Drosophila melanogaster: one gene and its partner. The gene in region 2 interacts genetically with the main gene of each other region. Each region holds a gene or a part of one and is shown on either strand. Other genes may lie near its edges.

Region 1 (4,826 bases), on a different chromosome or scaffold from region 2:
TTTCGAAACGATATTTGCTATGCACCACAATTTATTTTGCCTATGCTGCACCTGTCGTTTGTGCAATCGAAAATTCTCAGGAAGGCAAAAATGATTTTAAACTGGCTCAACCAGCAATTCGAGCTTTTGCGCATGGTCAATGCGAAACCTTACAGTTTTGGCTGACACATTTCGCTTGATACCTTCATATCCGGTACTCATGGAGCATATCAGCATATAGCTTGCTACTACCAAAAACATTTTGCAGAATCACAAGCAAATCTGTCTTGGCTACAACTCCAGTAGCAGCGTGTAACTTTGGGTCACTGAACTACACTTTTGTTAAATGTCAGCATAAATGGCTAAAATGAAATACACCTTACAAGCTCCTCCTAACCAACTTGTTCATAATCCAAAAACTTCCTGTTAGAGTAGCGAATTCAAACAGTTGGCACTTTGTTTTTTCGAACTTGACATATGTAAGCCGATCGGCAAATTATCGCGAAAATGGGCCATTCGAATCGTAAAAGTGATGACCAAGCCGGAAGAGCACAGACATTATGGTAATCCAAGAACCCCCAATAAATGTAGCAAGAAACTGCCTCTTTATAATAACGAAAGAAGCTAAGCCTTAATTAAATCCCAACCCAGTGGGATGCGGATTTGGCCAGGTGAGGAGCTAACAGCCAACTGGCTTGTTAGCAAACAGTAAAACGAGCTAATGACGTACATCTGCTGAAAACCCTTGCACTTTCTCCTCCAGCCAGTTGTGATGAAGATGGCAGACTCCCATGCGTTTAGCACCATGAAGATACTCCGCTAATAGCCATTTAGCACATGGCTTAATCTTACCGTACAGTTTGTGTGCCATATGAATATGCTATGTTTGCTATAATTAGGTGCTTTGACATTTCGAGAAACAAGATCTGCGCAAATTATCATATTTGGCTGATCCCATCGATCTGAGCAGCTTTCAATGCCAATATAACGATATTGGCTCAATTGTTCTGGCAGCATCCGGCTGGAAATGGAAATGGTGGTATTCGATGGTGGTGTTCGATGGAAACACCTACCCATGATGGCAATGCCAATTTCGCGGATTGCCAGCCAGCCGGGTGCAACTGTCTCATTGTCCCAGTACAATGGCAACGGAATATGCATATGCGACGACTCCCTGCCCGCCTGACAGGTACAAAAATGCTGTCTGCCCCTTTGGTGAACTTCATTCATGCCCCGGATCGCAGCTCGGATTGCATTGCATTGCAGTGGATTGCAGTGGATTGCAGTGGAGTGGAGTGAGCGGCCAAAATCGCGGCAACATCGACTAAAACATTTTAATAAAAACTTACACAGCAACGGCTGCAGTGCAGCTGAAACAGAAAAGCAAACACAAAGCGAGCGACAAGCCGAGCCGAAGCCCCAAAACTGGTTCCTGGCCTGGCTGGCTAACTCTAAGCCCGATCCACGGCTCCAACTCCTATGAAAATGCAACATGGTGGTCTCTTACATATTTACCTTTGACTTAACAGACGCTGTTAGCCGCTCGAGATTCTCTGTCCGCGCAGCATACACATATACATATGTACATAGCTGTGTATGTACATGCACCTGCAGATCGTGGATCGCAGTACCTGTGCTCCACAGCCGAAGCCTTTCGCATGTGTGTGTGTGTGTGTGTGTGTGTGTTTGAGTATGGTGTGGTATCCATCAGCTGGCAAACGAGTAACCCCCGAAAAACCAGTTTTACCGCAAAGCGAGCGAATGCCAGCTCAATTCCAATACGTTCCACCTTGGATCGGGTAGCGCCCACTTGTTGCCGCTGCTGCGCGAGACAGGTAAAGCGAAACAGTACCGATCCAACCGCCGAGCCGACACCACGTACCACGTACTTTCGCGCAGTGTAGCACGACGAGTATGAGCTTGTGCCCCAACGCAGCGCTATTGCTATAAGGTGGCTGGCGCGATACCGGTTTTCGAGCTGGTATGAATATGCCCAAGAGCTAATTTTTTAAGAGTTATCTCTCAAGAAAATGTGTAAAGTTCAGAATGGTCCGTTTGTGGCGACGTGTGATGTGTGGATGTGTGAGGTGTGTCCGGTGGATCCAAGGCAACCTAAAGCTGTAGCCATAGAAGCCTGAAAAGGGCATACCACGCAGATATCTCGAAATAGCGCTCCGTTTAAATAACAAAGAAGCCCCGAGAGGCAAACAAAGCCTTCACGCCATCATTAAATCTAAAAATCATACCTTTGTACACACCACTTTAACCCCCGAGAGCAAGACTTTCTCTTGCCAATTTTTCAGTTTTTTTGTTTACCCAACACAACTCACAGTGGAGTGAAAACAGAAAACAAACGAAACCATCATCGTTTTGCCGAATATCAAAGGATAGAACACTAATGTGGAATGTGAACGTGATCGCCGTATTAAGCAAATCGCATTTATCGACCGGGATTTCTGCGGCATTTGCCAAGAACCAAGAAACAAGCAATAAAACAGCCAAAAAAAACAAAAAAAAAACGGCAAATGAGGTCACGTATGTCGAGATTTGTGTAAGAAACTTACACAGTCGTGTTCACTGTACAGGCATACGTAGATAGTCATCGACTTGCCATGCTACTTTTACTACATGCTACCAAACTCCCACGCGCCGCTTTGTTCGCCAGCTTTTCGCGAAACATTATGGCTTATAATTAATCCAAGAGGGCAACCTCCAAACAGTAATTAAAATTCACTTCAGTGCGGCAAAACTCACTTCCAAGCCGGTGATCCGGTGATCATCAACTTCGAAATGATCAACTTCGGATTCAATATGAATTTTATGACAGAGAAATACATAAAATAAGTATTACAACACCTTCAAATTTGTGTCGCGAGTGTTTTTAATCGAGTTTAACCCTGTTTTTTAATGCGCAGATACAACATCTATTGAATAATATAGTAAATCGAAATGTAATTGAGGACCAAGAATAACCTTTGTTAACGGCGTGTGACTCCATTTTTCACGTTGGATACTCAGCTGAAATACTTTGAGCTGCTTTAATATTTAATCTTTAGACCAAACGGTAAGTGCGGAGTATTATTAGTATTATTATTATTAAATTATTCAGCATCCAAAGGCGGGGAGAAGCAAAATGATGAAATAATGTTCTTTTCTCCGGGCGGCGGAGATTAATCTTCATTTGGCTAAATGGCTAGAAGCCATTTATAAAGCAGAAAACATAATCACCTAACCGTTTTTTCTTCAGCGGAAAGTCAGGTCGATTAATTTTATTGTCACCCAAGAATTTGCAGTTCAATGTCTTTGGCCATCATCTAAATTCAAAGATTTGTTTTTAATTATTCTAAACTCAACTTATTTTGGCCAATTAAGACAATCATAATGGTAGAATGTTTATGTTACTCAGCAGTTGCTTAAGTTTCGTTAGACGTGTTCTCGATAAAAAGGCGAATCATTAAAATTAATCATCAGGAAAAATGATTCTCAGCAAATTGGCTCTAAGATACTTGTCGAGTTCATTAGAACGATTAGAATGTTAAAGCACTTTGAGTCATTAAACTCGACAAATGGCCATTTTGAAGACGATCATATATTTACTCCCACAGGAGTCATAAATATATGGACAGCCAAAATGAATGGCATAGATTGAGATACTTTATATGCTGATAGAATTCGATATATATTATGAAACATCTCACGGATCCGTGAGGAGAAATACTTTGTATGGCCAAGAGCGCGTCCTCTGTCCAATAAAATTAAAATACAATAAAACACTCAGCGAATTAGCATAACAATCGCAGTTGGAGCTGACAGAACGATGGTGTATACATGAATGTATGTATCCAGGTGATCCAAGTGATCCGAGTGATCATCCAGGGGAGCCGAGTGGCCAGGTGGACCAGGGTATGCCGCCATTCGGTGCCCAAATGCTGGCGTTCCTTTCTTGTTTATTTAAGATTTGTGTGGCAACCATCGTTCGCATTCCAGCAGATTTGAGATTTAAGTTCGCTACGTATTGTACCACATTCAAAACTAGAAAATGTTGGCAAAAACAGCATCAATAAGCAACAGGTTTGCCGCATATCGAATCTGCACCCAGCAGCACACAACACACACAACACACACAACACACACAACACACACAGTACACAGGCATTCAAAGCGATACCTCGGCTTTCGTTTATTTTGCAAACCAGTTTGGCACATTCGGCTTTTTCTATAAGTTTCCGGTTGAACATAATCAGCAACTGACTTTCTGTGGTGGCCACCGCCGAACTCCTCCTCTGGCTGCTCCTGCTCCTCCTGCTCCTTCTCCGATCTCCTCCAGCTTCGCGCCTTTGTTTATGCGGGGGAAATGGAAAATGGCATTTTGTGTACCGTCCAGTGAAAGCGGAGGACTTGCAGCGCTTTTCGCGATTTTCCCGATTTTCTCGATTTCCTCGCAAATGGAAGCAGGAACGGCACGACGGAGCATTTAAGCCCCCATATCAATACCATGTGATATCTCGCACTTAAGTTACGCAATGGGCGATCGGGGCTTTTATGATTTCGGAGATAATTTCAGCAGCAGTTGCGTTTGCAGACAAGTTTGATTCCACTCGCGATTGCAGCACACTTTGGCGAAATTAAATAAATCGTTGGGAAATCATGGGTATTTTGATTGGTTTATTTGGCTAATTGCGTAAATCGAATTGCAATTGGCCATCGAAGACAATAGTTGTCAGTGGCGGCTAAGGATAAGAGATCCATCAGCTTGGATTTTAATTGTCAGCCAATAGTTGAAATTCAATAATTCGCTTTGTTCATTAGAGCGCGCACTTTATTCCCCTATTTTATGAGTTTCGGTT
Region 2 (4,248 bases):
GCCGATGTCTCTCTGCCCGTCTTTATTTGTATGAAAAGTTGTAAATTTTCAAGACACGCTGACGTTCGAGCAACCTGGTCGCAAACAACGAACTCGTGCACGAACACATATACACAAATACAGTGCTTTTCAGATTTATAAATCGATTTTTAGACATTTAATAAAATTGAAATGTATATGTAGAAGGTCGCAAAAACTTTTTCGAACCTAAAAATAATGAAGTAAGAAGAAAAGTTTACAAAGTTGCACTTTAAGAACCCAAGGGTTCTTGAACGCGTAAAAACAAATTAACGTTTGAACTTGATTAGTAATTCGGTTTCTGCATTTCAAGCATTTCATTATTGGAATAACTTATAGAATGCTGTAACCTATGGGCGAACGCCACAAGCTCCCAAATTTAACGAATTACTCATGCTACTTGTAATGGAATGTCATAAATATTACAATAAGGATCGGTCTTCGCCAGGCAGATATGTACTGCATGCATTAAGTCTTGTTATCACATGGCTGGCTTTGATGGGCTTGGGAGCTCGCCTTGCCCATATGCTATCGCACCGCACTGTACCTACGCCGGGTATTTACATACATCCATATGTATATGCGAAAAGAGGTGGCAAATAAACACACTACTTATGATATGATTAATCATCAATGAGCGAACCAACCAAACGGTAGAGATCGGCACACATACCAAAGCATAGACTCGTCGCGCACTATGTTGCAGAAGTCCGTTTCGATGGTCTTGATCTTGGAGTTCAGCACAATGCCATCGTCCTGCAGATCAAGGTTCCTCATCAGGGCGATGATGTGGTCGTAGGCATAGCCACCTGTTTGATTTTGATAGGCGGCGGGGCCAGTGTTCAGGATGGTACAAACATCCCGGAGGCGCGCTCCCGTTCCCTCACCACCGCCCCCGCTACCGACACCACTGTGCGAACTGTGACCACTGTCCACCGCACTGTTGTTGTAGCTGTTGTTGCCGTAGGAGGTGGTGTTGCTGCTGCCACCGCCGCCACTGTTGCTGCTGCTGACCATGTTGTTGGCCATTTCCATTTCTCGCCGCGATCACTGCCGTTTGTTGTTGTTATCGCACGGTTGTTTGTCTGTCCCTTCCACACACACTTCAGTGTCTGTTATATTGGTACGCGCGTGTGTGTGAGTCGTCGGTCCACCAAATAAGAATCAGCGTTGACAAAGGTGTCGAAATGCGCACGCCAAATGAAACACCTTTTCGCTCAGCTTCCGCTTTGGGTGCAGGTGCAGTTAGCTCACTGGGACCCACGGTCGATTGAAACGCAAATAACGAACGAAATTAAATGCACAAATTTATAACTATTCCTATTTATTATTGCTATTTGACGACTTTTAAAAGAGGTGGAAAAACATCGATGTGTTGTGTTCTTTAAAACATCGATGTTTCTCCACCTCTAGATAGCATTGTCGCGATATCGAAAGCACACGGTGTGCTTTCGTAAATAGCGCCACAGTGCTCCCGCTGTTATCGATAAGACCACCATGGGGCTAAAGTACGGAGCATAAGTAGCTGGATTTAAGATGGATTGGCAGAATAAAATATGAAATTTATATCCACAGTATATCTTAAGAAGTAGGGTTTAAAAAGTATCCACACATACATATCTTTCTAAAATTTAGGATGAATTTTAGTTTCAGTGGCTGAGTAAGCGTATTTGTAAACATTATTTGTTGTTTCGACTTAAGCCAAGTTAGTTAGCAATTAGTTTGTCGTGGAAATATCTATCAGCTAACAGTTATTGTCTACAATCGATTCTTGACAAATACTGGTGTGGTGAATTCCGCTCATTGGAGCATCGTAAAATCGCCATCAGTCAGCTGTGTTTCGTTGGGCGCGCAAACTGTTCGGCGTGCGTTTATTTGTTGTTCTTTTGTAATAACTATTTTTATGTAGTTATTTGTGCCAAAAATGTTGAACTTAAACTGCGTGATATGCGCCGAATTGTTTGGCCAGGCCGACGAGGTTTTTGCCACAGTTTGTGGTCATATGTTCCACCACAACTGTCTAAATCAATGGCTCGATCGGTAAACAACGCATAAGGATATTTCTGATTCCCGACAATAAAATCAAATATCTTTCGCAGATCAAAGACCTGTCCTCAGTGCCGGAATAAGTGCACTACCCGCAACATATTTAGGGTCTATTTCAATCTGGCCAACTTGGATGTGAGCCACATCGATGTTGGTTCACTGCAGGAGCAGCTGGACAATGCGATGTTGTCCATGAAAATGGTCGAAAAAGAGCGCAACAAGGATGAACAGCAGATTCGGGATCTGAAGGAAACACAAAAGAAGTGCCTGTATGCTTTTGTATACACATTGCCTTAAGTACCAGACTGATGCATTTCTCATTTGCAGCAAAACCATAGCCGGTTTGGAGCAGAAGGTGCAAAAGAAGGATTTTCTCATCAGCAGCTATGTCGAGCAAATTGGCGTCCTCAAGAGTGATGCCCATGTCGTTGATGGGTTGCGCAAGGAAAACAAAACATTGAAATCACAGATCCAGAGTATGGAAGGCATATCGGCTATTCTGGCGGCTGGCTCGGCGGATGCCGACCGCTTGCTCAAGAACGAGGCTGATCCACATGTCCTAGCCAACTGGGTGTCCACTCTCAAGAGGGAGTTGCGACAATGCGAGAGCAAAAAGACGGAGCTCAGGAATGTAGTGAAGGTGGTGCAGAATGATCTGCGAAAGGAGATCGAACTAAAGCGGTATGCTCACAACATTCCAAACGTGGTTTTTATAATTGATATGTGCTCATTCGATTGCAGCAAGCTGGAAGAGCGTGTTTCACACCTGGAGAGCGACCTTTACCAGGCGCAGGAGAAGGTTTGCTGAGCCTTCTTTAACACAATTTCGATTAAACATACTATTATCTTTTCAGCTACAAGCTTTTGAGAACAAGACCGCTTACTTGGACTCACCAAATGCCTCTTGTGGTCTGAACAGCAACATTTTGGCCCTTAAAAGGGAGGAAAGGCGTACCACTATTTCCCCTACAGTTGTGAGTAGACACGAATAAACGAAAATATAAGCTACTAATATTTTGCTGCCCTACAGAAGGAGAATATTAAGCGCATCGAAGAATCCACCTCCCCATATCTCAACATTAAATCCAGCAGCGTCGGGTTGGCGCATCTTCTTAATACTAAGGGTAACATTGGGCTGGCCAAGTCTAAAATATCGCCCATCAAGGGAGTCGGTGGCGGTGTGTCTATGACCAGCGGAACCATACGGAAAACCAGCAGTGATCTCAGTGAAAAGGTAAACGCAATAATTTTGCCGAATTCCACTTAACCATTTAAAAATTCCGTATATTCCCCCAGTATTCAATCTTCAAGAAGCCAAGACTGCTGCTGGGAAGTTCAAGTAGTTCTGCGTTGACGGCCACGACGGGCTCAAATTTTGTCTACAATGGAATGGGCGGTTCTGAGAAGGTTGACCCCTTTGCGCAGCGCGCCGAGGAAGAGGGTCTTTCCACAATCAGATCCTCGACCGCCCTTTCCCGGAATGTCAACCAGCGTCTTAAAGCCGGCTCGCTGCGCAACTTTAACCTGGGCAAATAAGTCCACAGCCATGTGATCATAAGAGACTGCCCCAGTTGGGTATTAGCACGCGATTGGTATTGAGGATTGCCGATTTTGTTAGTTAGCCAATGCATGAATTAAGCAATAGTAATAATTTAGCAGTAAATATATAAAAATACAAAAGGCATATGTGTGTGCGATTAGGCGGCAATTTTTTTCTCCGCCGTGCCCGTCCATTCCTCGCGCAAGTGGACACTACAGCCGAGGTCGCGCAACGCCGCCTTGATGTCCTGCTCCACACTGGGGTGCTCCTTCATTGCCATATTTAGTAGATCCTCAACGCCGAAGGAGATCCAGGTTTCACACTGGTTCCGCGACCGTGACACCATATTGCGGATGGCCCACGCTCCGTTTCGCTGGACTATCTTGTGTTTGGGATGGGCGCGAAGAGCCTCCACGATTACTTCGGCGATGCCGGTATCGAAAAAGGCGGCACTGTGTTCCTGCACTCGGAGTGTCAGAGTAGTCACGCAGGCCAAAGCGGCGGCAACGATGTTTTCATTGGACTGGTGCGTCTCTAGCAATTGCTTTATTATAGGAGCCACGCCCTGCTGTACTATATGTGACTTCACGGAGTCTTGGCCAGCCAGGGCACGTAGCAACTTTAAGGCCTCTCTATTTAGACGC

The links. A genetic interaction does not mean that the proteins touch.
Region 1: of nopo (region 2) and Cad99C, changing one suppresses a phenotype caused by changing the other (phenotypic suppression), as found in Drosophila melanogaster (one study listed by BioGRID).

What each region holds. Positions count from the first base shown.
Region 1 is NT_033777.3:29,839,831-29,844,656, forward strand, and holds the start of Cad99C (cadherin 99C), read left to right. Parts: upstream 1-1,826; 5' UTR 1,827-1,960; intron 1,961-2,894; exon of another isoform or gene 2,895-3,043; intron 3,044-4,826. UniProt on the Drosophila melanogaster protein: Cadherin that functions in epithelial morphogenesis and the intestine epithelial immune response. Essential for female fertility. Regulates the length and organization of apical microvilli in developing follicle cells and salivary glands.
Region 2 is NT_033778.4:18,178,780-18,183,027, forward strand, and holds nopo (no poles), read left to right. Parts: upstream 1-1,837; 5' UTR 1,838-1,942; coding exon 1,943-2,058; intron 2,059-2,117; coding exon 2,118-2,333; intron 2,334-2,391; coding exon 2,392-2,745; intron 2,746-2,805; coding exon 2,806-2,863; intron 2,864-2,918; coding exon 2,919-3,038; intron 3,039-3,094; coding exon 3,095-3,298; intron 3,299-3,360; coding exon 3,361-3,600; 3' UTR 3,601-3,740; downstream 3,741-4,248. Other genes in the region: CG5726 (uncharacterized protein), read right to left, coding at 692-1,053; CG5721 (uncharacterized protein), read right to left, coding at 3,762-4,248.